Linked DNA regions of Nothobranchius furzeri. The protein of the gene in region 2 purifies or fractionates together with the protein of the main gene of each other region. This does not show direct contact. Links are inferred from orthologs where the notes say so. Each region holds a gene or a part of one and is shown on either strand. Other genes may lie near its edges. The genes, in order: mms19 and pole.

What was found.
Region 1: the proteins of pole (region 2) and mms19 purify together in Homo sapiens (affinity purification with western blotting; 3 studies listed by BioGRID and IntAct, with this or other methods). This does not show direct contact. The link is inferred for Nothobranchius furzeri from reciprocal best matches to the Homo sapiens genes POLE and MMS19.

The regions. Positions count from the first base shown.
Region 1 is NC_091756.1:28,162,244-28,178,479, forward strand, and holds part of mms19 (MMS19 nucleotide excision repair protein homolog), read right to left. Parts: intron 14,705-16,236; coding exon 14,604-14,704; intron 14,490-14,603; coding exon 14,404-14,489; intron 14,282-14,403; coding exon 14,207-14,281; intron 13,980-14,206; coding exon 13,910-13,979; intron 11,280-13,909; coding exon 11,151-11,279; intron 11,075-11,150; coding exon 11,013-11,074; intron 9,022-11,012; coding exon 8,935-9,021; intron 8,857-8,934; coding exon 8,782-8,856; intron 8,679-8,781; coding exon 8,601-8,678; intron 7,035-8,600; coding exon 6,896-7,034; intron 6,796-6,895; coding exon 6,641-6,795; intron 6,564-6,640; coding exon 6,485-6,563; intron 5,247-6,484; coding exon 5,121-5,246; intron 5,052-5,120; coding exon 4,970-5,051; intron 4,886-4,969; coding exon 4,788-4,885; intron 4,695-4,787; coding exon 4,551-4,694; intron 4,171-4,550; coding exon 4,015-4,170; intron 3,307-4,014; coding exon 3,207-3,306; intron 2,741-3,206; coding exon 2,638-2,740; intron 2,558-2,637; coding exon 2,480-2,557; and 5 more. UniProt on the Homo sapiens protein: Key component of the cytosolic iron-sulfur protein assembly (CIA) complex, a multiprotein complex that mediates the incorporation of iron-sulfur cluster into apoproteins specifically involved in DNA metabolism and genomic integrity.
Region 2 is NC_091757.1:45,288,530-45,304,865, forward strand, and holds the start of pole (DNA polymerase epsilon catalytic subunit A), read right to left. Parts: upstream 9,060-16,336; 5' UTR 8,886-9,059; coding exon 8,818-8,885; intron 8,709-8,817; coding exon 8,579-8,708; intron 8,507-8,578; coding exon 8,426-8,506; intron 8,331-8,425; coding exon 8,286-8,330; intron 8,215-8,285; coding exon 8,122-8,214; intron 8,050-8,121; coding exon 7,895-8,049; intron 7,818-7,894; coding exon 7,673-7,817; intron 7,592-7,672; coding exon 7,511-7,591; intron 7,413-7,510; coding exon 7,305-7,412; intron 7,218-7,304; coding exon 7,107-7,217; intron 7,034-7,106; coding exon 6,948-7,033; intron 6,791-6,947; coding exon 6,671-6,790; intron 6,578-6,670; coding exon 6,445-6,577; intron 6,361-6,444; coding exon 6,247-6,360; intron 6,157-6,246; coding exon 5,944-6,156; intron 5,856-5,943; coding exon 5,748-5,855; intron 5,675-5,747; coding exon 5,546-5,674; intron 5,466-5,545; coding exon 5,363-5,465; intron 5,287-5,362; coding exon 5,140-5,286; intron 5,059-5,139; and 37 more. Other genes in the region: acacb (acetyl-CoA carboxylase), read left to right, coding at 11,675-12,198. UniProt on the Homo sapiens protein: Catalytic component of the DNA polymerase epsilon complex. Participates in chromosomal DNA replication.

The DNA.
Region 1 (16,236 bases), on a different chromosome or scaffold from region 2:
GTGTTTATTAGGGAAATAGCGGGCGAGCGGTGTTGATGCAGGATTGCGCATGCGCCGTGAGCGGTTCTGGTACTTTTTGGGTCGCAGCCGCTCGCTGCGCTGCTTCAACCCTCAGGAGGAACGAGCAAAATATCAAACACTCCAGAAGTCCGTGCGAGCTCACGATTGCTGATCGGTAGCTGGTCACGTGTGTTAATCGCCTCTCGTAACCCCCTGTACACGACACGACGCTCAGCGCAAAACTCGCCCCGATCTTGTGGATTCCTGCACGAGTGGAGAATCGGCTCAAAAAAGTAAAAAAGTCACACAGCGTACGCCCGGCTTAAGGTCTCTTCATTGGGCTGCAGACGAACTCACACCTGCCCGCTGACATTCCTGAACAAGTCTTACAACTGTAACGTGAGGAAATATGGGTTTTCTATCACAAAGGTGGTGTTGGACTCAGCTGTGTCAAAGCTGGGTCGCTGAGAACTTTCACCCACAGATTAAGACCTGAACGCCAGTGAGTCTGGGAGGAAACCATAACATCAACCACCTGCAGTCTACCAGAAGATGTGTTTACATGAGTTGTACCCAGACCAAGTCAAAACATAAAGTTTAAACTTCTTTTTCTTGATTTTAATGTTAAAAATAACCATTATCATTTTGCTCATTATAAATGTATTTAATCAAATGAATGGTTCTTATGCTTTGGGGTAATTATAATGGATTAATGAATCCACACTTAAGTAGATAATGTTGAATGTTTGGTACTGACCTTCACACTCAAGCACACAAACATCCACACACACCTTCCCACAGTAAAATCCAGACACATTTGATGACGCACATGTTTTTGCTTTGAGAAGAGAGGTTTTTGGTAAGTTTCAGTCTTTTTTGAGTCAGTTGGTGTTGGACAACGAGAGAGAACAGACCTGAAAACCAAAGGGGGGGCAGAGCCTGTTGGCTCGTTCTTCCCCCCTTTCACGCTGTTTCTGCCACGCCAGGCAGAATAGCTGAATCGCAACTTCTAACGCAGACTCATTACCGAGTCTTTTGATTTCTGAGTGAATTAACTTAAGAAAGCGCGTCGACAAAACGCTTTACCATCAACGTGTACCGAGGGCAACTCTGGACCGGGTCGCAGCGCATCTTTGTCTTTTCTGCCAGCCAAGGTGCCCTGGATGAAACATCCTAAGGTGACGCCCCGGATCCGAAAGAGGGTCCAAAAGAATTCGGTGAGACAGAACACGGTGTTTAGCGTTTTGATGCATCTTTTCCAACTAAGAGCCTAAGTTTATTCAAACCATCACTTTTCACTCAGACACCTGGTTCTTCCTGAAGCAAAATCAGATGCACTCACGCACCCATCCCAGCTCATATCACTCTCACCATCACAACATTCTCAATCTTCATAAATTCATCAGAAGGTCTATTTGAGCCAGAACAGCATATCAACTGTTAAAGAGATTGTCCCACAAAGTTACTAATGTTGATTGTATTTCCTGTTTGTCAATTTCAAAATCATTAGTTTAATTTGAAGAATTAAAACTTTTAAACGTCAAACTGGTTTCCTCATTGAACTGAAACACAGACACTCAGATATTATCGGCAGTTTATGGATGAAAACAACCTTTGAGTCTTCTGAACAATATAAAATTTGGTTATTGATTTATTAAAATTAATATTCCGAATTAATACGTAGCATGGTTCCTCTTTCATAAAAGAGCATAAAACCACAACGCTACACAACAACAAGGTGGTTGTCCAACCCTGCAGCTGGATAAACTTTACAGGTCCAGGAGCTACTGGACTTTCCTCGTCTCCATGAAGCCTTCTTCACAAATCCAGAGGAAACGTTGTTTTTCCGGACCAAGTTCATTTTCATAACCAACTTTCTAACAATTATAATTCAGAACTGAACAAAAACTGGAACCAGCTGTAAAAACTAGAATGGATGTGAACAGGAGTGCAGTTACTCACTAGACTCTGTGATAAAACAATTTCCCTGGATTCAAAGTAAATAAATGGGCAAATAGTTGTAAAGGCTTGAAGAACTAGAAGTTAAAAATGAGAAATAAAGGTGATTATTACCCAGGTCATGAGGGTGAAGGCCTGAATGCGCACAGGAGAGGAGGTGCAGCCCAACTCACTACACACTCGTTTCATTGTTGTCTGAATCAGGTCGTCTAGGGAGTTACCTGCAGATCAGACATCACAACCTTTAACTTAAAGAGGTGTGCTACAGGTGCAGAAAATGTGACCGGACCATGAACACACAGACACACCCAGAGGCCTCTTGTTGATCAGGCCTGCGAAGCACTTGGCAGCAGATGTGTAGGACAGCAGGTGGCTGCAGCTGCAGCTCAGCTCCTCCAGCTGGAACAGCAACCTCTCCATTTGGGGCACCTCCACCTGAACGTAACGCGTCCATTTCAGAACAGCAAACTTCAAACCCCAACTCAGAGTTATCTGAACTAACATCAGGACTGAGACTCACACTGCGAGGTAAGGAACACACACATGCCATGAGCAGACAAACCAGCTGAGACCGACTCCATGACTCTTCCTGCTGCTTCTGGGGAAAAACATCAACACCTCCTTAACCATACACCTTTGTAATAATGGAGAAAAAAAAAACAACACACGGAAACACACCGTGAGAAGCTGAATGTGTGAGGGGAAGGAATTATCAGGCAGAAAGGAGACGTCGCCATCCAGGAAGAGAGACACCGCCCTCGCCGCCGTCTGTCCTGCCAACCTGGAGACATGAAACCACCCGACAGGAAACCACATGGGACTTCACTTTCTAAAGCAGACTGCACAAACAAATCAAAGGCACTGACAAAACTAGAGCAGAGAAATTATATCAGTGATTATGATCGGCAAATGAGAAACACAACAGATTAAAGCTTCTACGGCCGGATATGTCTGTTCAAATAACTCAGATTAGTTCAAATAAAGACCCTTTTCACCATTAATGTCAAACCATTTTAAAAAAGGAAAATCAGCTAGAGAATTTTCCAGGTGGGAGGGTGAAGCTTGGTTGGGAGGTGGAGGGATCTGTGATCCATTACAAGCTAAAACAATAGACATAGACAGCTGAAATAACAGGTAAATGTATGCTTAATAGTTGTGTCATTCAGAAAATGACATGAGGAGCAACATCTGATGTTATTAAGCGTGTCTGACACATCGACCACCCCTCTGATGGAGTTTGTACTGACTTGGGCTGCAGCCGGGAGCAGGAAGTGCTGATGACAGGAACCAGCGCAGACAGAAACACCTCCTCGGTCAGGGGACTTCGATGACCAGACGACCCCTCATCTACAAAGTACAGCGTGTTCATTTTACATGATGATCTCCTACTTTAAAGACCAAGTTCACTCATTTTTCTATATTTCTATACTCATTACTTCTGTGGGTCAATCTCTGTGGGGAAAAAAGCTCTGGTGCGCCTGTTTCAGGAACTAGGAGTGAACCACGTCAAAGCTGAGCTTCAAACAGGATTTAGTCTCATTTCCTGAAACTTGGACATCTCACCTCTGATTGGCCAGCAGCAATGCAACTCTGCCACTGACTCTGTTTGCTTTGAAATGTTGACGTTTTACCTCCACAAATAACACATGCCTGAAGGAGTTCTGCCATGAGGTGGAGTTGCTAATGCTAATGGTTAGCTTCTACTAGCCAAGACATGCTCTACTTTCTCCAGGGTGCTAAACCAACAACAGCCTTCCCCGTCAGGAGCCAAAATGGATGAGTCCATGAATGCTAATTTGCCATTATGACGTGTAATCAACTGGCTTTTCTAATCTGAGTGTCTCTCTGTCCATTTTCTATTGGCAGCTACTCCAGGGGGAAAAAAGCTACAAGACTATTTTCCCGTTTAGCTTGCATGTTAAACTCAGAATGACAGATCATATTTAAAAAGATGACAAGTAAAAACAGGGATCTTGGCGTTTGCAGTTTTATAAAAGATAATAATAATATTGGTGGACTTTAAATGTCTTTAGGAAGAATTTAAAGTTTATTTACTCTGCAGCGCAGCCTGGAGAGCTAAAGACAGTAGGCGTGGGATGATGTTATCATGGAAACATCGCCCCGTCTCCTCAGTGTCCTGAACCTGCTCGGCTATCCTCTGAAGGCTGCGGCACGCCAGAACCACCTCGTCCACAGAGAAACGAGCCCCATCTGAAAGCAACAACATGATCCTGATTATCAGATGGTTTTTTTGGTTTTTCAGAGACACGCTGAGAAAATGTTGTGTGTTAAAAACACCAGTCTGGTAAACATAAATACAGATCCATTAGAGCAGGGGTCCCCAATCCTGGTCCTGGAGGGCCGGTATCCTGCATGTTTTAGTTTGAACTCTGTTTCAACACACCTGATTTCAATCAGCAGCTAATTAACAGGCTTCTGCAGAGCCTGATGAGCTGCTGAACAGGTGTTTCAACCACTGAATCAAGTCTGTTGGAGCAGAAAAACCACAAAACCTGCTGGATACCGGCCCTCCACGACCGGGATTGGGGACCCCTGCATTAGAGGATAGAAAACGCCTACAGACAGATTACCTGTGTGTGCTGAACTGAGGACCTGCAGGAGGACAGGTGTACTCTCAAAGACCACACTGGGTTGGAGGGACACGGCAGCCAGAGCAGACAAACAACGTTGGCGCATTGCATGATGGGAATTCATCTCTGAATTTTCTCTGGGATCTTGAACAAAGGAGATGAAAAAGTGTATTATAATCAACAGAAAATGTAAGAAAATTTCTAATTTATTTTTTCCGATTTCTTGACATTGCTCACCAGAAAACATCTCCTCCTTCAGCTTTGGGATCAGTTTAGTGATGAGGGCTGCAGGATGCAGCTCTGCTAAAGCTCCAGCACACTCAACAACAGCAGAACTGGAAGTAGAAACATAACCAAAACAGGATCAAGTAAACAAAAAAAAACACCAAGGCATTAAAATTTGCCCAACGGGAGTTGACCTGACACTCTCGTCCTCCTCGGTCAGCAACAGTCTGGTCAGGTGATCTACAGCCAGACCAACATCTGAGTCTAACAGCAGGCCTGAGCAACAGGAAGGAAACATTTCAGACTCCTGATCAGCCCAGATAGTCAGATATGAAAGGGTCCTACCTTTATGTTGTATCAGTGAGGTGAGAACGGTGGTAGCAGTGATCTGCAGACTGGAATTACTCTCGGAGAGAGCAGAAAACACCATGCTGCAAAGAGCAGCTCTGTACGCTGACAGCACACTCTCATCTACAAACACCAGAGATGGGTACAAGTTATGTGCATCTTTATACAGACCACTAGCCATGGACGTAATCTGGGGGGGGGGGGGGGGGGGGGGGGAGATGGGCCCCCCCCCCCCCCCCACTTTTTCCAAAGTCAAGTTTTGACCCCTGCACTTTTTACCATCCAAAAATATTATATATATATATATTATATTAAATTGACACTGGTTGAGCTCTAGGACCAAGCGGAAAACAACCGTTTGTGTTGAAGCCTGTTTCCCATTAGAGCATACTGTAGATACACTCCCCCGTGTCCCCCCACCTCTAAAGTGAAAATTACATCCATGCCACTGGTGTGAGATGGCTGAGCCTGATCATGCGATTTAAGTCCCATCAATCCCTGGAAGATGTCCATGTTTCTGAACTGATTTAAATATAAGAACAGATTTTGTTCATTTTAACACTAAAAGGTTTTTAACACGCTAAACCATTGCTTTCAAACTGGTTGCAGTGGTACTTTAGCCACAAACTTCAGCCACATCACATCAGACAGCCTTCTGCTGACCAGAACCAGCAGAACCCGTTTAATGGGTCAGGCTGGAACACTAGTGGGAGGTCTCTATCTGCCGTTATGGCAATAACAGTTTACTGTTGGCATCATGGAGGACCCTGAAAGTAAAAGTAAGAGAGCAAAAATGTCTTTGGAGCTGAAGCAAAGAGCTAAAACCAGAGTGAACTTTGGTGCAGCCTACGCTAGTCTGAGGGAGCTAAAGGAGGCTACGACATCACGGACTGATGGTGACCTGGCTTTGTTGCTAATGGACTTGTAAATCATAATATTTTTTGTCCAACAGGGTGGATCTTTTACTTTGTGGCTCACTTAGTGTTAGCTCGTTGTTGCAGCAGGGTTGACTAGTGCATCCAAAACTGATCCTCCTTTATGGGAGCGAGCAGTAACTCTTCAGTTACTTGATCAACATTATTGCTCAGATCTTTCTCCACAATTACAGCTCTATTGGAGATGCACTCTTTTTGGGTCTGTACAAATACATCGATTTGACAATAAAAAGGTGGGAGGGGTGGAAATATGCCTGAATAATAATCACACTGCAATCCTCTGACCTATAATCAAAGTGAATCACGAGGTGCTGAAAGAGTAAATCTAGTGATTACTTTGTGAAAATTCAAGAGTCTTATCAGTGTTTGTTATTTGAATGAAATAAACTCGGTTTCAACTTTAAATCAGAGGAATGATGAACTCACCGGTATCTGAAGACGTGTTTGTTTTCACTGACTTGATGAATCGTTGCACCACTTCCAACAACGTACGTCTATGAGAACACTGTTAAGAGAAGCTTATGACTCAGTAACCATGACAACAGCAAAGCTCTACACATGACTACGGATTCTCGGTCTGACCTGTGTTCTGCTGTTGTACTGCTCGATGAGAGAGGGCATGACAGCAGCTGTTATGATGTGGCTCGCCCTGTTGGAGGCGCTGCAGGCAGCCTGTAGCAGCTTGGCACTGGGCCATACCAGCTTCAGGTCGGGCTCGCACAGATGATGTTTACAGTCTGGGAAAATGTCACAAAGATGTTTGCACTGCTGTTAATTAGACGGTTTTAATGAAACCCTGCCTGTAAAAGGAGCCTTCGTTTTAAAGAACTGGTTCACCTGTTAGAACCAGATCCAGGAGGGTGATGAGGGTGTCTTCAGAATCAGAGTTCACCACTGAGCGAGACAGACAGGAAGTGAGTGCGGTGAGAGCGGTGAGGGCTGCTGACTCGATCTTCTCACTGGATGTCTGAAACACCTGCAGGCAGGAAACGGAGACGGGGCTGTACTGAGAGCACACACACCAGTGAAGAGGCTGGGTTTCACAGTAACGTCTCTATTTAGCCCCATTCCCACCTGTACCGGGTCGGCCCGGGCCGGGTAGCCCCAGTCGGCCCCAGCCTGGCCCGGTTGATTCCACACATCCTTGCCTTAAGCCCATGTGGGCTGATTCTACCCACCAATCAGAGGCTTGCTCTAATGGAAGGTGTGAATTTGCTGTCAGCAGTGGGCGTGTTGGCCCTGGTCGGCCTGAAGCAGTACCCCTCGGGAAGAGGGCCGAGAATGAGCCTTGGTTGGCCCGGGAAAATTCCAGGCCACCCAGATATGTAAACAACCTATGCTACCCGGCCCGGGCCGACCCGGTACAGGTGGGAATGGGGCTTTTGTTTCTGTTTATGAAATTTTATAATTTTATGTTTTCTGATGTCAATCTATTTCTGTTTTGAGATCATTATGATTTTATGACTTTGTTTTATGTGAAGCACACTTTGTGTTTCTATGTCTGTGATGAGTGCTATATATAAAAAAAATGTACTTACTTACTATTTATGGCACAGTCTGGTTTAGGGCTGGGCAATTTGGCCTAAAATCAACATCACCATATATCGTCACGTGCATTATGTTGAGTCACATTTTTACATGACTCAAGGTGGTACAGCATCTTAAAGGGACATTGCCAACCTACACACACCTTTTTCATTTTTTATTATCATTATTATTGTGGAAAAAACGATCATGATAAAAGTCGAAATTTTGATAATGATAAATATTGAATTTATTGCCCAGCCCCCGTCTGGTTGGATGGCAGCGTGAAAAATCATCTAAAACTCAATTTTGTGTTTACTCAGGTTGTCTTTGACACTGAAATGTGTTTGCTGATCTGAAACTTTTATGTGGGACAAAAAGGGAAAAAAAATAAATATGTGAGAGGTTAAATTATAGTTTTTGCAGCATTGAATGGGTGGAAAAAAAGGGTTGTTCACCGGGCCTTTCCACCAGACGTGTAAGCGTCACGCAACGTCAGCGAAGTGTAGTACGAAGCAATTAGCCGCTGTTATAGTGGATGGGTGTTTCCACCGGCCGCAAAGCGTCCCAGAAATGCTGTGAATACTTCAATTTTTTTTATACACTACGCTTCCAGAACATGTCAAGCTCAGCAGTTCAGATCGGGTCAGACAGGAAGTTGAACAAAAGCAGGGTAAAACATCCAGAAACTTTCAAAATAAAAGTCACTTGCAGATTTTCAGTTGATCAACTAGTAAAAGTACGTCATTACCTGTAACACCTCCAAAGCTGAGGCAAACAGGAAATAAACCACAGACCTTTTCGGATACATGCTGCCATCTATCTGAAATCTAATGTGTGGTTTTGCAATTTCCGGTCCTTCAGTGACTTTGCGGACCATTTGTGTGGAGCTCTTTTGCTGCTGTTTGCACCTGAAACACTCCCAGTAGGAAAGGTGCTCATGGCTAAAATGGTTATGCATCCATTGGAAAGCCAGGGTTAAACTAAAACGGCTCAAACTTTGTAAAACACTACAGACCTCTCTGCGCAGTGACGTCCACAGTCCCTGGAGGAATTCAGCCAAGTCTCTGTGATCATATTTTGACCCGCAAGCAGCCTGAAACAGATCAAATATAAAGAGATGACAAATCATCATAAAAGTCACATTTCATCTTACTTTAGCTTATTCTTCTCTAAGCTGCGGCTGTAGTCAGTCTCACAAGAGTCTGCAGTGAATCCAGCTTTGCACTCTGAATGTCCGAGTCCATCTTCTCAATGATGAGTGGCAACAGAAACTGGAAATGGACAAGAACATTTTTAGATCCTGAAATTGTACCATAATGAATAATCGTCATGTCACGATACCGCCCCACCTCTGCAAAGCTGGGAGTCCCTGTGAGGACGGTCCTCAGAGCCAGAATTAGCTCCTCTTTGGTGATGCCATGGGGGTCGTTGGGGGGCTGGAGAGGGTGAGAGGTGGTCACAAGAAGAGAGAGGAAAAAAACAAGATAATTTACAGGAAATTAAACCCAAGAAAAGCTTAAACAAGTGGTGATAAAATGTCAAATACAATCAGATGAACCAAAATGATTCACTTATTACGAATCTACTGAATATCTGAAACTAGTGTGTAGGATTTGTTTTGGCTCGTGCTCTGCTAAAGCTTCAGAGACTGGAATGCAAGTCTCTTTAAATGACGGATAATTTTCTGATTGTTTGGAGCCCCTGAAGAAAAAAAGATGAGTGCTCCCATCAGTCCTGTGTCCTCCAACAGTAAAGAATCCTGAGAGCAATCGCGTGTGTGTGAGGCTCTTTGACTCTAAACTAGTGATGCACAGATATGAACATTTTTGGGCCGATACCGATATCCAATATTAAGATCACTGCTATGGCCAATAACCGATATTTGCAGATGCAGAAATACTGACATTAATGCTTCTAAAATCAGTAATTTTGTATAAAACGAAAATTATTAAAGCCAAATTTACATTATTATGTACACACACCACACACATTTATGGTTCTGAGATGATTTCATTCACTGTTCACATGACTAAACATAGACACATCACCCCCTCACCCTCTGAAACAGGCAAACAAATGAAGACAAGATGGAAAAAATATTGGTCGTTAATATCGGCCCGGTTTTATTTATCAAACCGATACAGATATGTTAAAAAATGACTAAAATCGGCCGATACCGACATTGATGCCGATATATTGTCCATCCCTACGCTAAACGGTTTAGTTTTTTGCTCCAGAGTCGGTCTGTTCTGCCAACATCAGTGATGGTAAATGGCCTGTATTTGATATAGCACCTTCTAGAGTCCTGGAACCCCCTACGTTTGCCGACAGGGACGAGGAAATTCAGCACATTACTCCTGTGCTGGCATTGTTACACTGGCTTCCTGTGGTCTATTGAACGTCCTTTGCTTTGTCTTCTGGTCTCTATATGGTGGTGCTCCACCATACTTTGCAGCATTATTAACACGTCACACCCCTTCACGATCTCTACGCTCGGCTGAGCTGGAGCTACTGACTGTTCCTCAATCCCGGTACAGATCTAGATGAGATCGGGCTTTCTCGGTCTTGGCTCCATCCCTCTGGAATGAGTTGCCACTTGGCATCAAACAGTCACCCTCACCTGTTGTCTTCAAGAGTCAAATACAGGCCAGGAGTCACGTGAAGGCTCATGTTTATCGTTTGGCTTTTATGTGACTTGTTTTTATTTTTCTTATCCTTCTCTGATGTATATATAATAGGGCTGGGCAATAAATAAAAAATGTATCGTTATCTAAATTTCTGACTCTTATCGAGATAATTGTTCCCATGTCAATAAATTTGATAATAAGAAATTAAAAGATGTATGTAGGTTGGCAGCGTTAATGTACCTTTAAGACGCTGCACCACCTTGAGTCATGTAAAAATGTGACTCAACTAAAACACGCCACAGCTCCATCTAGTGGACAACTTTTGTTTCTGCGCATACCTGTAGTTATCGTCCATTTATCGTTATCGAGGTGAAATCCTCTATGTGGCATAGAGTATATATACATATATTAACATATATATGTGTGTGTGTGTTCCATCATGCTTTTATGTTTGTATGTGGTTTTTAGGACTTTTTATCAATCTGTTTTTATTTTAATCTATGTCATGGTCAGTGCCTTGGGCTTCCGCAGAGGCAGTGGAGGGCGCTCTATAAATAGATTGATTGAAGGTGCTTTACAACGCAATCAGTCATTCATCCATTCACACACACATTCACACCCTGGTGGGGATGAGCTACGATGTAGCCACAGCTACCCTGGGGCGCATTGACAGACGAGGCTGCCATACACTGGCGCCACCGGTCCCTCCGACCACCACCAGCAGGCAAGGGGGGTTAAGTGTCTTGCCTGACAGCAACAAACTGTGATGAGCTCAACCAGCTGAGTGAACAGGAACTTACAGGGGTGAAGTCTATGGGGAAGTAGCAGGACGTCACTTCGAACAGCTCCTCTGTGAATTTACCTGATTGGGAAAGTAAAAAGGTGAAACAGTGACAATAAAAGAGGAACAGAGGATGGTGCGGTGAGAAGATCCTCACCTAGACTGTATCCTCCCAGAATGATGTTGTTGGCTATCTGGAAGGCTAACAGGAGGTTGCGGGGATCCCTCTCTCCGTCCATTGACTGGACAAATCCAAAAACAAAGTCGGCTCCCAAACCTTTCAGCTCTGATGGAACGTCAAGCAGAAAAAAGCCACTTTGATTAAGCTTTTTAAAAAGGACATATAATGTCCCATTGTGGACAGCTTACTGAACAGCCTCTGTTCAGAGAAACAGTTCAAATCTGACAAGACTGATGGGCTAACAGCTAGTCTAATTGCAGCCAAGACTAAAGCGTGTTTCTCGTGTTAACGCCGCCATCAATCATTACATTAGTGCTGTAAAATATTGTTATTTAAAGTTTAACTATAACCAAATGCAGAAATCTATTCATATTCCTGCAGAAATTCACAGAAGCTTAAATGTTTATAAAATATTGCTGCATGAGCTCCAGAGACTTCAGTCAATTTATGTTACAAAATTTTGTTACAGAAATATTTTTGTTTTATAAAACACAAATAATACAACAAAAAACATCACATATAACTTGTGGGTTTAGCTCCCAGGAAACAGCTGAGAACGTTTTGGCTAGTAGAAGCTAACTATTAGCATTAGGAACTCCACCAGACAGCAGAACTCCTCCAGGCTTGTGCTATTTGTGGAGATGAAACATTACCATTGTAGAGCAGAGTCAGTGGTAGAGATGTGTTGCTGTTATCCAATCAGATGTGAGATGACAAATATCAGGAAATAAGAGTCTAAATCTTGTCGTCTGAAGCTATTTTCTCCATCAGCTGAATTCTCTGTGATACACTGTAGAGTAAAGAGCTCTGGAGTCCTCTGACTCTGAAAGGAGCTACACAAGTGTGGATTATTTATCAGAACCACCCAGGACTGTTCAAAATCCCCATGAGGGCTACAAATAGCCTGTGTGTCCCACTTTGGACACCACTGACATAAACCTTATTTACATTCGTAGGCCTGTCTCTACATCCATTCATGATTACGGTTGGGCAACGTTTGAATTTGAACAATTCCGATTCTAATTCCTTGTTTCAATTCTGGTTCCTAAAGATTTCCGATTCTGATTCTTTCAAGTGGTAGGATCCAAAAAACTACATGTTTTAAATGAGCCAGCTAACCACAGGGTTTACTTGATGAAATAATCTGAATTTCGACATGAATTTTAATTCTATGAACAACAACATCACCTTCATTTAGGCAAAAGCATGTTTTCAAGAAAGAAACAAAAAGACTTGAAACACAATCCGTGTGTTTGTTTCTGACCACAACCAAAGTCTGGGAACTGAAGACGCCTCAGGCTAAATGTCTCCAACATAACCAGAAAGTTCCAGCTGCTTTCACCTAAACCTCTCAGGATGATCATGTCCAGGGTGACCGAGTTCACACCAGCCTGCTGCAGCAGCATTCAGTCAGAAGGGAAACTGGAACTTAAACGTAGCTGCTGTCCAAACTAATCTAACAGATGTAAACAACAAAACTCTCCAAAGACTAAATAGTTCAAAAAAGAAAAAAATCTCACAACTTTGCATTTTGTGAGATATTTTTATTATTATCTTTATTTATTTATTATCCCTACCGGCTTCTATTGGCCAGAACCGGGTGTGGTCCACCACAGGGAAAGCTGCTCTAGCATGATGACTAATTATTTTACAGCTTATTGTTCAGCCTTCTGACGCTCACGCTCACACGGACGAGTGTTGGTGAGCGGCTGCGTTTGACTGCTGACGCTCCGTGTGTTTTTATTTCTGCAGTGAGACAAACTCACCTCACACCGCCCGGTTTGTTCTTTAAAACTTGTATTAAATTGACTGTACCGATGCGTTTTAACGAGCTTCCACTGCGCCGTACTTTTTTCTGAGGAATTAAAGTTTACATCACGCAGTAAAAGTTCAGCAGACTGTTGTTTACAGGGAGGAGGGACACGATGCTGCTCTCAGGGTCTCTGTGGGCTGCAGAGTAGGACCGCTGGTGTGATCAGCTCTGAAAGGTGTTGAGCAGAATTTGCAGAACATGTTTTTTTTTTTCGCCACAGATTCTTCTTCTAGTCTAGTCTGCAAATCAAAACTAGGAATCAAAATGTTAAAAACTGAATGAATCTGGGAAAAACTGACAGCTAGTCCCAGCTCCAACCGATGCTTGATGCACAACACTAATCATGAGAACTTTTTATTGCTCCGTAGGGTCACAGGGTGCTGGTGTCTAACTCCATGGAGTGAGAGGTGAGGGACACCCTGGACAGGGTCTCCTTTACAGAGAAACACAGAGAAAAACTCTGTGTCTCATCTAGGGACAGTTCAGAGTCTTCCATCAACCCAGCCTAGATGTTTTTGGTCTGTGGGAGGAAACCAGAGCACCCGGAGAAAACCCACACCTGCACAGAGGGAACACGCCAACTCCCTGCAGAAAGGCTGCAGCTGGGATTTGAACCTGCACTGCAGAGCAACCAACTGCACCACCAAGCATCCTGACATACCTTCTATTATATAAACTATAAGCACAATGAAGCACTTAGATAGTGAGGTCTAAGCAACATCAGAACCTAACTGTTTGAAAATGGCTTCAGCTCCCCCCTCTGATTGTTTCATAGCTTTACTCCAAACGCAACGCTTTTAGAAGTACACACACTCAAACTTCTATTGTTGCAAACCCTGCCGATAATTCTAAACTCCCTTACGTTACAGAAAACATGCTTTCAGCATTTCCTCATAGGTGATCCAGCTCTCCCTTTTCTTACCTGCTTCTCTCGTCTCCATGAGGTTGATGAGCATGTTGTAGACGCAGCCTCTCTCTGTGAGCATCAACGACTGCAGGTGGGAGACAAACTGAGGTGAGCTCGCAGCAACAATGGCAACACTTAAAATGACCTAACAACACATTTAGTAAGAAGGAACAGCATTATGGTCAGGAGTTACGCTGGTACCTGAGGTCACCTTAAAGAGTGAGGTGAAATTTAACAACACCCAAACTGGGAAGCTTGTGTGAAACATTACATAAATGCTGATACTGTTGTGCAACAGTGTGTGAGCCTCACCTGAACATGAACGTCCTGAAACACAGACCTGAGCATCGAGACGGCAGAGCCAGGAGGCAGTGCTGTGCATTTTGTCTGGGACAAACAAAAACACACACTTAACAGACCAAAAATTCTGCAACTCCTTCTGATCTAAATGAATTGATTAAAGCCAGGCAGGTCTTTGGCTACTGCAAATCTACTTCAGATGGACTTACCAATGCCTGAAGTCCCCGTAAAACAGGCGGCGTGACGACGTGATGGTCCTTCAGACGGTTTTCATAGAAGGCAATCAGCACCTCCACTGAGGGGGTGAGAAAAGTGATCAATCTTTCCTTCTATTCTCCCATTCCTAATATTCCTAATTACCAGCAGTGTGCTTTATGTGAGCGAGAGGACGACGTCATAAGAGGGGTACCTTCTCTCTCTGTGAGATCTGCATAGTTCTCCTGTAAAACGTCTGAGAGTAGCTGGACTCCTCGCGCGCGAGTGTGAGGCTGAGAACTCGTCAGGCTTCCACTACAACAGGAACAGAAACAAAACATTAATTCAGCTGAGCTGATAACGGAGCATAAGGCCAAGTAATGTAGTTTCAGTCAGCGAGCTAGATTTAGAAAAGTACAGCCTATTGTTGTGTACTGCTAGCAAAAGTGTACATGCTAGAGATCGTGTTAATGACTAAAGATTAGGAACACAAACCAGTCAGACATTTGAAAGCGACTGGTTAATATCATCATTTAGAAACGCTGTGCAAAAGTTTGTGCCTCCTAACAGATTTCATATGTTTATGCTTTTTTGTCTCACATACACATTACAGATCACCAAACACATCCCAGTAACACACCAAAACCATTTATTAAAATATATATATATACATATAACTCAATGACCCGTCTCACATTTATTTAAAAAAACTAACATCTGGATGATATTTGGGAAAGTATTCCTTAGACTGATGAAACAAAAAAGAGCTTTCTGGAAGGTGCGTCCCGTTCCATCTGGAATAAAACTAACCCTAAACATCATATAACCATCAGATAGTTGAACCTCGGATTCAGGAACAACAATGTGGTTTTTGTCGTGGCTGTGGAACGCCGGACCAGCTCTATACCCTTAGGGGGTCCTGGAGGGTGTGTGGGAGTTCGTCCAACCAATCTATGTGTGTTTTGTGGATTTGGAGAAGTAGTCTGACCGCGTCTCTCAGGGCGTCTTTTATCTTTCTTTTTTTTTTTTTTTTTGCACCGAGTACCACAGCAATTTCCTAATGTTGTGATTCTCGCACATATGGATATAAAGCCCTTCTGATTCTGATAACTTTTATGGACAGGAATTCTAGCTGCAGCCGAGTGTGAAGAAGCTGAGATGAGAATCAGTTCTTCTAAATCTGAGACCATGGTCTTGAGTCAGAGTGGAATGCCTTCTGCGGGTCGGGGTAGAGGTCATGCCCCAAGTGGAGGAATTTAAGTATCTCAGGGTCTTGTTCACAAGATGGAGCGTGAGACTGATAGGTGGATTGGTGCTGCATCTGTAGTGATGCGGGCGTTGTACCTAAGAGAGAGCTTAGCCGGAAGACAAAGCTCTCAATTGACCGGATGATATAAGTTCCTACTCTCACCTATGGTCACTCACGAGAGAAAGAATGAGACTGCAGATACAAATAGTTGAAATGAGTTTCCTCCACAGAGTGTCTGGGCTCTCCCTTAAAGTGACAATGTGTAGTTTACCTGGCGATAGGGGGCAGTACATACCTAAATGATTGCAAGCATTACTTTTGTGTTCAAGTAAGACCTTACCAATGGATGGCCATTCGGGTCAAAAATCCCTGAGAGTGCATCCTCCAGCAAAATAACAAGAACATCATCTTCCCTTTCATCATGAGTGAAGAGGTATACAGTGGGGCAAAAAAGTATTTAGTCAGCCACCGATTGTGCAAGTTCTCCCACTTAAAATGATGACAGAGGTCAGTAATTTACATCATAGGTACACTTCAACTGTGAGAGACAGAATGTGAAAAAAAAAATCCATGAATTCACATGGCAGGATTTTTAAAG
Region 2 (16,336 bases):
GTTCACCGCCAGGCTCTGCAGATCCAGCTCCACGCACACTGGAGATGACACATACCAACATATATTCACACAGCAAAAGGAGCTCCAGAAACTCCTGGTTCCTGAGGTTTCCTGGTAGTTGGAGTACCTGTGGAATAACATCCTTGTGCGTTGATCTCCACGGACACCTGATCGTCGTTTTCTACGACCAGGCGGCTGTCGTCGGCCTCTTTCCCACCGAGGTCGGGCCTGGCTGTGGGTGAAAGCCACAGCAGATGGTTGTGTTTCCGTAGATGTCTCGCCAGGAACAAGTCGGAGCCAAAGATGGACACGTCCTGGGGCAAATTACCCACTGGCAGGTGGTAATACCTGAAAGGAGGAGTTCCTGGTAGCCACGCAGTAATATTAATTCCACTGAGGAGAAGGTGAGCTGGGCTTACCTGGCCATTTCAAAAGCCTGAGACAGGCAGCTGTCCAGGTTGAGGTAATGGCGGATCATGCGCCGGGCCCCGTGGCGTTGCCAGTCCAGCACATTGTAGCTGATCTCATCCACCACGTGCACCGGAACCACCGGGAACTCCTCGAGCACCGGCACGGCTGCTGCTAGCCGCTGCAGCTCCCAGTTGGACTGGACGGCAATGAGAGTGGGCCCACGTCGCTCCTCCTGAACGCAGCAAAGAGATAAATCAACATGGAGGAAAACAAGGAGATTACCTACCTGTAGGACAGTGAAAACATAGATGGGTTATGGTTATTTTATTAGTAAAACAGAATAAAAACACCAGAATTTGTGTCTTTTACTTTGTAGTTCAGCAGGATGCGCTGCACAGCACGAGAGATCGCCTTGATGTCGTTTTCAGCTCGAACCTCGAAGGTGTGTTTCTCTGGAGGTAGAAGCTCCTCCGTTGTCTTCTCCAGGAGGGCGGTGCGCTCTGCTGTGTAGAGGTTACTCAGGTTGGGCATCTGGTTGCTTCGCACCTGAAAATCACAAAGTTGCAACAAAAGGATGACACTCCGAAGCTCGTTCAGAAATAATCCAACAGCCCTGCCACAAGAGTTATCTTGCTCCGAATTAGCTAAAACCTGACTGTTTTGGTCCCCGTTACCACGGAGACACACATACGTGGCCTCAGACCAGTAGTAGAAGCATTGGATGCGAGTTTAGAACACATTCAGAAGCAGGTGAAGACAAAAACTGTGCTTCTTTTACCGTGTCCAAGATGAAGATGCTCGCTTTGCGCTGAGAGGGGATGAACAGCCCAAACAGAGCCTTCTGACCCTGGTTGTGATGATACAAGTACATGTGACGAATGCTTCCTAAGGAAAAGGCAAGCATGTGTGTTAGGATGGAGAAAATGTAAAACCAAGGCAATTGTCTCTGACTAATTCAAGATGAGGTTTTCTGCAGATCTCACCGGGTTCCAGGTAGCTGAACTGAGCCAGAGATCTCATCTCCAGATGTTCCAGATCAAAGGAATCCGTCTCTCTGCCGGCCAAATCTCTGACGATGTGTTTGTTTACCATGCACACGCAGCCGAGCTGCACCAGGGCACGAAACAACAGGGGGACCTGGGAAACAGGTGATGGAGTGAGGTTAATGAAGCCGAACTGGAAACATGGAGGTGGTGGAGTTTAAGGTCACCTGTGTTTCATAGACGCCTTCGATGTCGGGAGCCGAGAGGTCGGCGTTGATCTCGTTGATGTGCTTCTGGTACATTTCCTCTGGCACAGAGTACTCGTACAGGAAGTACACCATGTTGGAGCGCGGCAGCATGCGGTTCACCTGAAGTCACCGTTTGGGAATTAAACACAGTTTTGGATGAACTGAACTCGGTTTTCTCAGCCCGTACCTTTTTGAACGCCACTCCCTCTTCTTGTTTTGGGACTTTCTGGTTGACGTAGAAGACCCGCGGGATGTTGAGCTTCATGCAGTGAAGGTCGTTTCCGATCACAGCCCACAGCTTGTACAGACCAGGGTGACTCGTTTCTGCAATCTGAGACGTATCACAGTCATTTCCTTGAATTTTGTCCAACGATCACATCCAACGTTTGGATGTCACCGCCACGGTGACTTTGCTCTACCTGCACAACCTGCCAAGGCATGTCCAGGATGCTGCGAGCAGTTCTGCGGAGGAAGCTCCCCAGGCCGGTGGCGGAGCCACCTCGGATCACACCTCCTCCAACAGGTTGAGACTCTCCATCCAACAGCTTCCTCCTCTTCTTCTTCTCCTTCCTCTGTCTCAGCTGCAGCTCCCACTTCTTCTTGTGATAACGAAGCCAAACAAGATGCTCCTCCTGCACAAAAAGACACAGGTTGTTAAAATTAAACATCAAAATAAAACCTGAGATTAACAAAATCCCTGTGGGATTAAAATCTGCTGGAAATGCACCCGTGTTGTTCCCTTTGATGGAGGCGGTCCCAGGATTTCTCTCCATGACTGCGTGAGCTCAACGTCCTGAGACTCCACCTGACTGTCACTCCCCTGAGACGCCCGCTTACGCTTGGTGCTGATGGGAACGGCGGGCTGCGGGGGTCTAGCCGGCCTCCCAAAGTCCTCCATATCTGCTGTATGACCTGCCTCGAGAGGCTGGTGGGTCACCTGGGAGATGTAGAAACAGCAACACATGGGAGCTCTGCTCAGCGCTCACGATGCTGACTGATCAGCTGACCCTACCTGCTTCTTGCCCTCGCTGGTGAACAGCTCACTGATTTTTTTCTGCTTGTAGATGTCGTTTTTCTCCAGGAGCTTCTTGTGAAGCCAGTCAGGATGTCTGACTCTTGGAACTGGATTCTTCACCTGATGGTAAAAAGAAAAATTCAAACGAATCTATACATAAACTTGAGTTGCATTCAGAAAGTGGTCGATTTTTAAAAAAATGAGCTTTAACCTGTTGCAGAGCTGCAGGGATGGTGATGATCTTTTGGATCGCACTGCCCAACCTCTCGATGTAATAGCTCCAATCGAGGATCTGGAGTCACCCGGAGACAAGAATGTGTAAAAAAAAAATTGAATATATATATATATATATATGATGAGGTTTTATCTTTAACTGGAAAAAACATTATGACTCACCGTGCGGATGTCCAAGTCGTGCAGGCTGGGCATCTTCAACCACTTCCTGAGGAAATGCTTCTTGACGCTGGGCTCTGCCTGGAAGATGGCCAGAGGAATGGCCCTGATTGGGGAAATATGTAGATGTGATGGTGTCAGACCCAAAGCTTTTACTTCTGGTGGTAATGCAAAGAGACTATTCTCCAGAGAGACCCAAAGGAAAACAGCATAAATATATCAGATCAATCAAGAAATCTGCTTGAGCCCTCTGGCTTGACTTGTTCATCACAAAAGGTTTTCGTTAGAAATTTGATTCCTTCCGTGTTAAATGATAAAAATCCACCTTTCTGTTACGGGGGAACCCTCTGGTTTTCGGGAGATGACGTAGCGGCAGCTCAGACCAGCGTCTTTCACCATCTGGTCTCCCAGGAACTCTGCCAGCCTCTTGGCCGTGCTGATGGATGTAGACTTTTGCTCTCCATAGTCTTCCAGCTTCCTGGACATCGACCGATTCTCTGAAATCAAGTCAAACAGCTCTGCATCGGGCATGTTGGCAGCCTAAAAAACAAGCACAAAAAACATGACAAAAACAAAAACAGACTGAATCTTTTTTTGATTGAAGTGGGCACACTGGTTTTTAACACATCTGCGGTGGTCTCTAGTATATACAAATGGCTTGTGGGCCGATCTCTGGGGAGAAACTCCTGTTTCAGAAACTTAATCGAAGGAAAAATTCATTCACCTTGCTGTACAGCACATCCAGCCAGTAGTCGGCTACTTTGGCCACAGACGCGTACACTTCCTCCAGGGTGGTCCCTTTGAGGAAAGCCTCAAACACAGATGATTGGAAGATCTTGATGAGCTGGAGCTCCCCTCGTCTCTTCACTTCAAAACCTTTGAGCTCAGCCAGAGAGCCGTCCTCGTTAAACACGGCGTACCTGAAAAACAACACGGGGCGTCCTTAAAAGTGCCCTTTCAGCTTAAATATTTCATCACTTGTGTGGCAAACCTTTTCTTGAGCTTCTTCCCTTCCTCTTTGGAGGCAGGCAGGATCATGGCCAGGTACGGTCCGTCCACCTCGAAGAAGATGCTGTTCTCCGACCTGATGTTGTACACGAGAGACGCTGGCTCCACCAGCTCGTGGTACTGGTCGTTGGTGAACCCCTCCTTCACCATGATGTTCAGCATGGCCCCCGGGTAGGAAACGGTCACCTTGGGCTTCTTCTCGTTGCTGGTTTTCACCACAAAGTTCTCTGGGAAGGTGTTGGGGAGGACGCACCAGATACCGTCGGTGTCCAGCTCCAGAGGCCTCCTGAGTCAAAATTAGAAAGTGTGAGAAGAATTATTAGTTTTTTTCCCCTAAACTGCTAAATTACTTAAGATAGAAGCCTTTCTTAATGCCAAAATAAACCTTTGAGGTTACAGAATCACAATAAATTCAGATCTTTGAACGGGAGAAACGAGCGACGCCACTCACCCGATTTGCTCGATGAGTTCTCTGGCCTGAGTGATAATGTTGGCTCCAGTGTAGCACACAATGCCAGCCATCTCCATGGAGTACCAGCGAGCCCTGAGAGATAGACGAAGACAGCATCAGCCCCGCAGCGGCGAGAGAGGACGCGTGACGAAGCGACTCGTACCCTTTTCTCATGACGTAGCCGTAGAAAGAGTTCAGAATACACTTGTGAGCCAGCTGAAGGGAGTCGTACAGGATCTCCATGTTTTTGCAGCGCTTCACCTCGGCAGCATCTCCACATTCCTGTGCCACTGACAGCTTCTTCTTCCACACCTTCAACAGCAAACACGCACCAGAAGTGAACAAACAATGATTATGAAAGCAAAAGACTTTTTAAAATTATTTTTGGAAAACCAAAGCCTACTTTGTGAAGTCCTTTGAATTCGTAACGCCGATCCCTGAAGGCTCTGACCGTGTCAACATAGAAGGAGTTTTCTCGCTGACAGATGGTGGTGACGCGCTCCTCCAGCCTGGTGACGTGGATCTTCTTGTAGGCCTTCTTACAATAATCTAAAAAAAAACAAAGAAAACTGCAATTTACACATCTTAAAACCAAGATCTGCTTTAAGGGAACCCAAACAAAGACGGTACCCGCAAGACGCTTCTTCTCGTGTTTGGCCTGCTCCTCCCGGTTGAGTGTGTGGAAGGCCCTGGGGGCCCCGTTGGGGAACAGCGGGGGGAACTTCTCAGACTCCAGCTGCTGCTGGATGCGGTGAAACTCGCTGCGACTTGCAGGCACTGAAAACAAATAGATGTTTTTTTTTTATTTTATAAACCAACCCAAACCTGTTTTAGTGCAGAGTAACCAGCTCACTGATTTCTCCTCTCCACTGCCAGGTCATCCTCCTCTGGCAGGAGGCGCCGGGCTTGTTGAAGTCACAGGCAGCACACGTGGCCTCATCAACCATCGCCGACGGCTACAAACGATGAAGACGTTAAACCTGCTGCTGTTGAAAGAGTCTTGCGTCTGATTTGTGATTCTTTTAGTTTTTTTTACCTGCAGGCGGTTGGTGAGGATGATGTTGGGGTACATCGCCCCGACGTCCAGATGGTAGATGAGGGGGCACTCGATCCTATTGGGAACCTCCTTCAAGGAAGTCAGCTTCTTTTTGATTTCATCACACACCTGACAAAGCATCACAGTTACTCCATGATGGAAGTGTTGAGCTAAAAAGGGGGAGGGCGACAAGTTCACACACCTCATTAAAGTTAGTAACTTGCTCCAGAGAGACTTTCTCCTCCTCCTCGATGGCGTGACGCATTGTTTGCTCGACTCTTTGAAGCAGGAAGTCGAAGGCGGCTGGGTTCTGTCAAAGCATCAACCCAAAACGGTCAAGCTTCAAGCTCCTAAAGGTGATTTAGTAGAATTATCAGAGAAAAAAAAAGAGGATGTACCATTTTAAAACGACAGGGGATGTCGCTGCGAAACACTCCCGACTCCAGCGCCTCCACGTGGCCTCCCACGTAGGTCTCAGAGTCCATGACGTGTCCGTCGTCCGTCAGCTTGTTGAAGACTTGCTCCTGCTTGTTGGGGAACACGATGTTGACGTGGAAGGCCTGCACCATCAGCAAGGCCTCACACAGAGTCCCAGACCCTTTACGCAGCACCTGTTCACACAAGAGCAGCGAGAGACCATTTAGTTTACGGCTCTTTATCAGCAGATACGTCTTCTTTTACTACAAAAATCTGAGACGAACCTCATCAGGCTCCATGGGGATGATGGTACACAGCGCAAAGATGAAGGGGTGAACATATTTCATGTACAGGTAATACGTGGCCACGGCGTCAGACACAGAGTAGGTGGCTAAAGTCTGTGGGAAAAGAAAAACAAATGTATTTTTAACTGACTAATCTTTTCTTTTATAGGATTTAAAACTCAAATCTTGTTTCTGGACCTGTGGCTCCTCCGTTGCCATGCGACACATCTCCTCAGGGTCCAGCTCCACCGGGTCGTAGCCCAGTTTAGCCTTGGCTGCTGCCTTGAGATTGTGACTTCCCACAGGTAAGTAGCTGTCTCTCTTTACCCACCTGGTAAAAGTTGGAATGAACGCGTGAGAAAACAATTCCCATTAAAATAATCAGCACACCTTGTCAGTAGGTGGGAGTCAGAATCATCCCCACCTCAGGCAGTCCATGTGGATGGCTTGGCTGGACTTGTACTCCCCCTGGCTGTCCTTCTGGAAACCGATTTCCCTGTGCATGCTCAGGCCGTGGTGGGCAGCTCGGGTCTCGACAAAAGGCCTGAAGAGGACCAAAAACACCCTCACAAAATAGAAGTTTCTAATAAACTGCTATTTTTAAAATTAATCCTGGATATTTTATAAAGTTTTTCCCCATTAACAAAGAATAAACGTGATTTAAAAACTGGGCTGTGAGTTTTTAATTACAATCAGCTCACCAGTCAAAGAAGTCTCCGTTGTAGGTTACAAATATGTTTGGTTTGGTCTCCTGAACGTGATCAAACCACCTCTGAATGAGACCAGCCTGCAACCAGAAACACTTTAATGCAAAAGCACTTCATACGGTAATAATCAGCTGAATCTGCACAGGTCTAGACCTCATCGGCCTCATTAAAAACAGTGAAAGGCCCTTCGTATTCCGGTTTGGGAGTGAACTCAAAATCCTCAATGTTCTCAGAGACAATCTCTCTGTTTGTGATCAGGAACCCCTGAAGAAATAAAACACGAGTTGGCAAACTGACGCAAACACGATGAGGTAAAGGATAACTTTGCGAACGGCTCTGTGTTAAACCCACCTGTCCGTCTATCATGTAGGAAATCATCATGATCTGATCCGTCTCTGCGTCTGGGAACTTCAGAGGAAGTTTGGTTGTCTCGATGTCAAAAGCCAAAACAACCGGGTCCTAAATATCCAAAAAAAAAAATTTCAATAATACAAGACTTAATGTAATCAGTGAGAATAAATAATGTGTTTTCAAGACAAAAAACAAAATATACGTACCGGGCGCTCCACAAGATCCTCTCTGCGTACGATCTCTGGCGGGAATGCGCTGCCACGGTAACGAACGTTGTACCAGTGAGCCTGAATGAGGCAGAGATAGCACAGATTATTACAACATTTATGTAAATAATAATCCAAGGTTTTATTATAAAGTGTCCTCACCACATGAATCTTCAGGTCGATGGAGAGTCGGACGTGGTAGGGCACATCGTACTCTCTCATGTCCACTATGTTCTCCAGCTGATCCACAATACTTTTCGACATCCCATCATCATAAGCTGAGGTGACGTTGCCACCTGACAGAGCGCTAAAACAACAAAATCCAGAGAACACTAGGAACGTGATGCTTTCAGGAACCCAGCAGACACAACAGATCATTCCTACCTTGATAACATTGAGGTGTAGGAGTCGTTGGACTGCTCCCTCTCTCGGTTCTTCCTTACAGCCGGAGCGATCTCACGCTTCACTTTGATGAGATCATCAACGGTGTTGAACGACAGTTTGATGTAGTTTCTCTTCAGGCCCACTAGATGGTTTGGCTGCAGAAATTGAGAAGTAGATTTTTAGTGCGTTGTCAACAATGGATCCTCTGACTGCAAACTAAAACTGACCAGATCCAAGTCCTCTTTTGGAAGCATCTCGAGTTTTGCCACCTTTCCTTGGAACTTCTTGGATAAGTATGAAATGACTTCCCTTTCACAGTTCTGAAAAGAATAATTAAGTTCTATAGGAATCTGATAAAACGACTCAAAACCTGAATCAAAATCAGACTTACCTTTCTAGTAGCAATGTAAAAATAAGGCTTGAAAGGAAGTGCCACCTACAAGGAGTAAAGATCAGGAAGAGCATGTCAGGGCAGAATAAACATCAATCATTAATATGTCATCCAGCATGAGGCTTTTTAAATAAACCAACCTTGAATCTGCTTCCATCCTCTTGGATGAAGTAGTAGTCTACAGCACTGATCATCCTCCTGTCCTCATCTAGGATCTCCGTCTACAAACGCGAACAAACGCGTTAAATGTCTCCTGAGACAGAAACCTGGTAGACTTCAGAGTGTGGACTCACAGGGTGCATGTTGATCAGCCAGCCTGTTTTCTCCCCGGGCTCCTTCATCCTCTCGAAGCCGAAACGAGCGTCCATGTCGTCAGTGAACTGGCTGCGCTCGAGCCGCTTGACGGCCGACGAGCCATCATCCCTGGTTCAGACAAGCAGCTACATTAGCTCTTCGTCTCATTTTGGAACACGCTGAAGTACTTCCACAGACACAATTACATCTAATAAACAGAAATTACAAGCGAACTTACTGGTTATCCACATCTGCTCCACTTTGTCCACGGTCCGCCCTGTACCGTCCGCTGTTTTGCAAAACCATCCTCTGATTCAGTTTTTCAGCTGCAACACCGTCATATATGTTTAAACAACCATTTGCTTCGCCGTAGGCGTCTAAATTATATATTAATATTAGTATTTTAAAGCGTTGGTCGTTCTCTGACAGCGTAGCCGACCGGATTTGTGTTTTCTGGATTTCGCGCGTTCCTGCAACTGCCGCGAGACCAGAGCAGAGCCGGAAGAACAAAGATCGTTTGTGAACAAAGATAAACACCCGCGCACTCTGATACGATCGCCGCACAACAACAAAATTAACAAAATACGTTTTAGTTAGGTTAACTTTCCAGCATAGCTACGAATTGATCTACTTGTAAGGTTAAATTGTGTGTTTTATCAGTAAATTTCAACACTGAAAAGGTCAAAGTTGCACTCCTCATCATGTAAACACAAACACACAAACTCTGGCAGTGTGCAAAAAACCATTAACTTTGTTTCCATTTATTGTAACCCACGTGTCTTTTATGGAACTCAAAAGTATTCAAAATTCAATATACAAATAAGACATTATGTATTAAAAATCTACATGAAGAAATACTAGACGATCATGTAATCTGACAATGAAATGAAATAACGGATTATGTAAAATCTAAGCTCAATATTATGAAATATTTTTCATTCTTTTACCATTCTGTTATTTCATCATTTTATTGTCAGATTACATGATTGTCTAGTATTTCTTCATGCAGATATTATTTATGTATTGAATTTTGAATACTTTTGAGTTCCATATACTAACTTCATGTAGCATTCATCACTTCCGTTTTTCTTCAGCTTGAAACTACACATTTAGAGGGTTGGTATTTTTTTTTTTTTTTTTACATATTTGATCTTTGATGGTTTCTGGGAGGAGCTTGAGAGGCTCCTCCCTCTTACGTGAACGTGTTTACTATCGCACTCGAGAGGAGAGGGTGCTGGTAGCGGTGAAAGAATAACACCGTCTGGTCTGGTGGTAGGTACTTTTGAAATTTGCTGCCTTGGAAATATATGAAACGGTTTATCGGCCACCATCGCAGCGTTTAGTTGCATGAGGAAATGCGTTTTCAATCCGACAAACACAGAGCCTTATGTGAACATATGTGACAGTTATTCCCTTGACTTGTGAAAACAGCGACCATATGGTCTTATTTTTGGAACGATGACTGTAAAGTGATCCGAATTTAGAGTTTAACAGACCTCACTGGAACCATTTACACCCATTCATCTGACAACTTGACCTTTAAATGGCCTTGTTTTCAAATTAGGATCAGAAAATATAAGGAAAAAGAAAAATTGGAAGGAAAAACACCTTCCTGCTAAATTTACAGATAAGGGACCAGATTGTGAATATGTAAATATGGGTCAGCATGTTGTTGATGAAAATCGATTGTCTGCCATGTTTTTGTACATTTAGCTGTTGGTTGATGTCAGCATGGAGCTGAAAAGTAGTTTTATTTATTTTTTTGTGTGAAGTCAACAGTAAATGTGTCAGATACTGTTAATTGCATTCTTTTTTTAAACAATATGGCACAAAATAGAATAAAAAGTTGCACTCTGATGAAGACATTTCCTCTTAAGACGTGCTTCTTATTGAATGCCACTTACACAGGAAACACATTATAATTAATATTTCAATTAGAAATGTAGTAGAAAAGGCAAACTTTCACCATTGATTTCACAATAATTAGTTTATTATTTATCATCTTTATTTGGATAAATTCAGACTTTAGTGGGTGGTGTTTTTGCCCTTCTTTTAGTTTAAACTACCTTCTCTCCCATCGTTGACCTTTAGCCCACATTGAGTAGCCACACTTAGCTCTGATGTCAGCTGTTTCAAGCAGCCTGTTTACTGGATCCTGCCTGGGAAATAACTCCTGTTGTGTTCTGCTGGCTCACAGAGTAGCATAACTTTGCAGATTAAAACTAATACCATGCAAGTTATTAGTTTTTGGACCATTATGACAATGATGACTTTCTTTGTTACCCCTAATGCTCACGTCTCCCGAAACCTTCTGACCTCTGATCACTGTAGCAAAAGCTTTTCAAGATTACAATGGCAAACAGACATGAATAACACTGATTTTAGGTTTCTTAGTTCACTGAATTCAAGGACAAGGCCATAGCAGCGGTAAAAATAAGTTTTGCATGTCTTTTTTTATGAATGTTGTGCTGTCTTTTATGGTTTAAAAGGGACATATTATACTAAACTCATCTTTTGAATCTTTTTGTGCTCCCATGTGGATCTCTACTGCCTCTATAAGCACTCAAAACATGAAAAATACCTGTCCATTGCTTTTCTCAGTGTTTGGTTTCAAGCATCATGTGCCTAAAGCAAGCCATTTCAAAAAGTTCCCATTTGTGATGTCACAAACGGAGAAAGTAGAACCACCTCTCACATGCAAGAGAGATCTACTGCCTAGCTCCTCCTGGATATCGAAGCTTCTCAGCTCATAGCAGACTGAGTGGAGAGGGGTGGGCGTAGCCAGCTCCCGCTTGTTTTCTTAAAGTGACAGCACCCTGAAATGGCACATTTTGGCAGGTACTGAAACTGTCAGGAACAAAACTGCTGAAATTGCTTTATGTGAGAGGGATTTTGTACAAAGAACTTCATAAACATGTTTTGTATCGACCATAGAACTATTATAACACAAGAATTAAAGTTTAGATTTTTACTTTAATCAATAAGCCAATCGGTCAATCCTTTTAAGAATGTTCATTTTGGGCGAGAACTTTCACGTGCTGCATGAATAACTGTGTCCACGTGTTTTTGTTGCAGTCTCAGGACGATGTCTGCAGATGCTCCAGTTTGCAGTGTTGGGATTAATCCTGTGGATGTTAACACTCCTGTGGAGAATTAATACCAAGACAGCAATGCCTGTGAAAGGAGAGGAATCCTTCTCTGGCTGCAGTCCCCAGGCGGCTGAGGAGAACAAGTCCACTTCAAAGACCCATCCTCGTGCAGACAAACATTCCCTGTCAACAGCTGCTGTAAAATCATATCTCAATGAAAACAACAATCTCCTGGCCAACATTAAGTCTGATCCTTCGCAGGCCTCCTCTAAGGTACATTCAAGGCAGCCATTGCGGCCACAGTCCACCCAGAAACCCATCAGAACCACTACACCCATGCTCAGCTCAGAACCCGAGGCGAGGAAGCGCCTCAAGTTTATCCTCGGAGCATCAGAGGATAACTCCTCAGACGAGGAAGTGCTGGTAACAAAACCTCCAAGCGGTTCCTCTCAGCCTCCGGTTTCTGGCTCTAAACCCTCCAGTGAGCTGGAGTTCTCTGGGGTGTCACCATCCAGCTCCTCAGTCATCAAGTAAGACTTTGTTTCTATTTCAGTCAATTTAATTTCCATCCTCTGGGGACAGGCCTGTTTTATTTTGCTCTGTCATGTGCCTTCATGTTGGCTAAAGGCCCTTGCAGCTTGTGGTAAGGTGCTGCCGCTCCTCTCCTGTTCAGACCATGTGTTATCGTGTCACCTGACAGCTCTGAGTTGTGCTATTGTCGCCTGCCAGAAATCTTGGCTCTAATATTGGAACAAGAGCTTTAAGCTGTCACTCTGAAACTGGTGTTGACCCAACTGACTCAGGTCACATCACAGTAAACAGACGGGATAAGATTTTGTTTTTTATTTGTAGAAGTTGTGTACTATGCACTGGATGGAAGATCTTTTATACGACGGAGGATCAGAGGAGATGGCTGCTTATGGCTGTGTGCTCTGTTGGACATTTTTACTCAATGTTTTTAGCTAATCGTGTTAGCAGAGCTTGTGGGAATCATCATGAGGGAGACAAAGGTAGGAAATGTCTCATCTCTAGAGATCAGTGTCACTCTGGCTTGTGTACTCTGTCCTCACTGGATGTTATTTCCTCCTTTTGAACTTTCTCCGTCCACTTCTACTGCCCGCTCCTGTCTGACCCCTTAACTGCTCAAAGTCTAATTGCTTGCACATTCTAAGGAAAACCAATTCTGTGTCATCTAATCTCCGTTTAATCTGGCAGTGAATCCTGATTTCCATTCCAACCAATAGCTGGATTTCAACAGAGTTGCATTTGTGCGCGGTGCAGGGTGAAACACTGGCCTTTTATTAAAGAGTGCCCCGGTGAGCTGTTCCTCCTGGGAACAGCTCCTCCTCCTCCTCCTCCTCTTTGTGCATCAAGGTTATTTAAAATGTTTTGACTCCATCCTACTTAACTAATCTCCACATTCACACCAGTAAGAACCCTTATCTACCACATCAATAGATCTGCAGAGGTCCACATTAAGGAAAAAGGAGATCTGGCTTTTGCAAAGGCTGCCTTAAATTGATTTTACTGGACTGAGATCTGGAGATTGTGGAGGTCGCTGAAGCCCAGTGAACCCCTCGACATGTTCAAGAAACCAGTTAGACGTGATCTGACCTTTATGAGATGCTGCTAGCCTATAGCCATTCTATATATGTAAATATATAGTCTAGCCACGAGCAATTGAAACGACTTGGTGCTTGGGCAGAATCTACGGTTGTCTTTCAAACAGTCTCAGCACGCAAATGGATAGTGCTAGGATCAATCGACGCGATAAACAATGTGAGGTGTTCATCTTGACAGCAATCAGTCAACTGGGCAGTCCACCACAGTGAAAGAAAAAGATGAAGAAGCCAATGCATCATTTTTTGAAATAAACAACTTAAGTATCTCTATCTGCTATTGTGTCAAAGAAAGGTCTGAGTCGAAATCGGCTAAAGTCTATTCTAAAGCCTATTCAGACCAACGCTGTTCCTGAGCTGATGCCATCTTTGTAGTCTTTCTCTTTTTTTTTTTTTTTTTTACCGTGTCCTGTCTGGCTGTGAAGCAAGCAGAATTGATGTCTGAATGCTGGTGACAAGCCTTACAGATTTATTCTCAGGTGGAGCATCAAAGCGTTTGCTTTTAATGTCACGCCTGATACTTAAAACTTTATTGTTATTGTTGCTGAATGCTTTGTAATTCCGACCAGACACGGAGACAGAGGTGAAAGAGAAAGGAAAAGAAAAGGTGGGGAGAGAGAGAGAGAGAGAGGGGGGGGGGGGTCCACAAAAATAAACAATAATGAACAAGAGTCTGCTTCTAGACCTGCAGAAAAAAAGACAAAAAAAAAACAAAGGGACACAAAAAAGGGACACAACAACAATACAACAAGATCTACCTCTCACTGCGTCAACTTGATGAAAAGAAAAAAATATATATATAATCAACATTGCTTAACTGAAGAATCACGATAATAAATCACAACATATTAAGGGCCCACCATAGTCTTAAGACCTGTGTTTAACATGCCCAAGCCCATACTTTTGAGAGCACCATGTGAGCACCTGTGTGTACACGCGCTTGTTTATTTAAGGTTTTTCTATAGGAGCGCCCAACAGAGAGTGTGAGGGACCACAGATCTGCCCCCCAAAGATGCGCAGGAGACGGGGGAGCTCCAAGTCCCAGAGATCCAGGCGCTGCCCCAGAACGCAGGAACCCCAAGGAGACTGCAACCAGGAAGGCCCCCGCCCCCCTCGAGAGTCTTTCTTTGATGCAGCTCTAGTGTTAAGCCCGCCCAACAAATGTAGAGCGCTGTGATTGGTAAGAGACAACACTGTTTGGGCCAATGGCAGACCAGCAGAGGTTACAATAGAGCGTGGCTAGAGCGACCTGCGGAGCAAATTTTTTTTTTTTCTACTGCTACAGTTGGTCTTGATTTCTAGGCTAATATTGTGCATGGTCCTGCTGGAAATAGCCATCAGAAGATGGCCATCCTATATATGACCACAGAGGACACACACCTCTGTGGTCACACATGACACATGTGACATAAACGGGTCATGGGCATGGTCAGCAACAATACTTAGACTGGCACACCTTAGGGGTACAAAATGGGCCAAGAATGTCTCCCCAAACCATTACATCAGAGACAGCTTGGAGTATTGGACAGGATGGATCCATGCTTTCATGTTGTTGACACCAAATTCTGTCCCGACCATCTGAATGTGGCAGCTGAGATCCAGACTCATTAGACCAGGGTTTTTCCAGTCTCCTGAGTGACGTGTAGCCTCAGTTTCCTGTTTCCCGCTGACAGGTGTGCTCTTCTGCTGCTGTGGTCCAGCTATTCAAAGTTCAACATGTTGTGGTTCAGTGATGCTTTTCTGCAGAACTTGGAAGAAACCAGTGGTTACTTGAGAAGCCACTCACTGGATATCTCACACACCAAGCCTAGACGTTGTAGGTAAAAATACAGTAGATCTCATATTCAGTCAATTAAATTCCCTTTATTTCCTATTCTAGTCCTCAATTTAAACCTCAGAACATTAGATATAAAATACAGAGTTTATGTTCTGATAGAAAGCTTATTAACATTAGTAAAAGTGTTTATAACTGCTGGAGGAATTGGCTTTTATTATGTGTTTGTTGAATTCGGTTTCCTAAACAGGAAAAGAGAAACATTTGAGCTTGTTTTACTTTCTCTCCCTGCAGCCTTTTGATTCAGGATTCTTTTCTGTGAATTGTGATGACTTCCCCATAGTTATGTTTAATCATGGAGGCAGAAAAGCACCAAAGCGAGCTGCAGCGACATCTGTACTGTTGTTTTTCACAGAAAAGAGCCAACAGTCTGTAGATGTGTTGCTGCCCCTGCAGCAGGAGGGGGGAAGGGAGGAGGCTGAAGAGGAAGCATGTGTGCAGACCTCTTTGTTATGGTTTTTAGCACACATAGACTAAAAAAACTAAACACATATTTAGCGCTAAAGTAACAGACCTCAAAATGGAGCGAAATAACTTGTTCCCTTATCTGCAGAGGTGAGTCCTCGTGCGCAGCTTTCACAGCGCTTTGTAATCTGACACCGAGAACTTTAGTGTTCGGAAAATAAAAGCTGCAAGTTTGAACTACCAGACCGAAAAATAACAGAACCTCTGCTGGAGACGCTGAAGTTGTTAGCGGAAAGTCGGTGTTGTGGCAGCGACTTGGAGGTCGTTTAGCGCCGGTTTGCTTTCAGGAAACGGGAAAAATTTCCCGCAAAGTTTTACTTTTAGCGGAAACATGTAAACAAATGCGTAAATAATGAGTTTTAGTAAAGTGACTGTCATAATGGTCTGCACCGGTTCTTCCTTTTTAAAGCTGTAAATAATAATAATAATAATAATAATAATAATAATCGGGTAATAATAATAATAATAATACGTACATATATTTACCTATTATTATTATAAGTGGCTAATATATCAACTTAGCGATATTAGCCTATTATTATTATTATTATTATTATTATTATTATTATTATTATTATTGCTGAGTAAAGCTTATTCCTTTTACACTCAGCCTGTTAGTTAATGTTCTGAGAACAAACCATCTGCTGTATGATAAACCAGGTTATCAGCTTGTGTTTTAATGACAGGTTATTTCCTTAGTGAGCTGTAGGCCTACTGTACAAGAGTTAAAGTTCACTCAGATCTGATCTC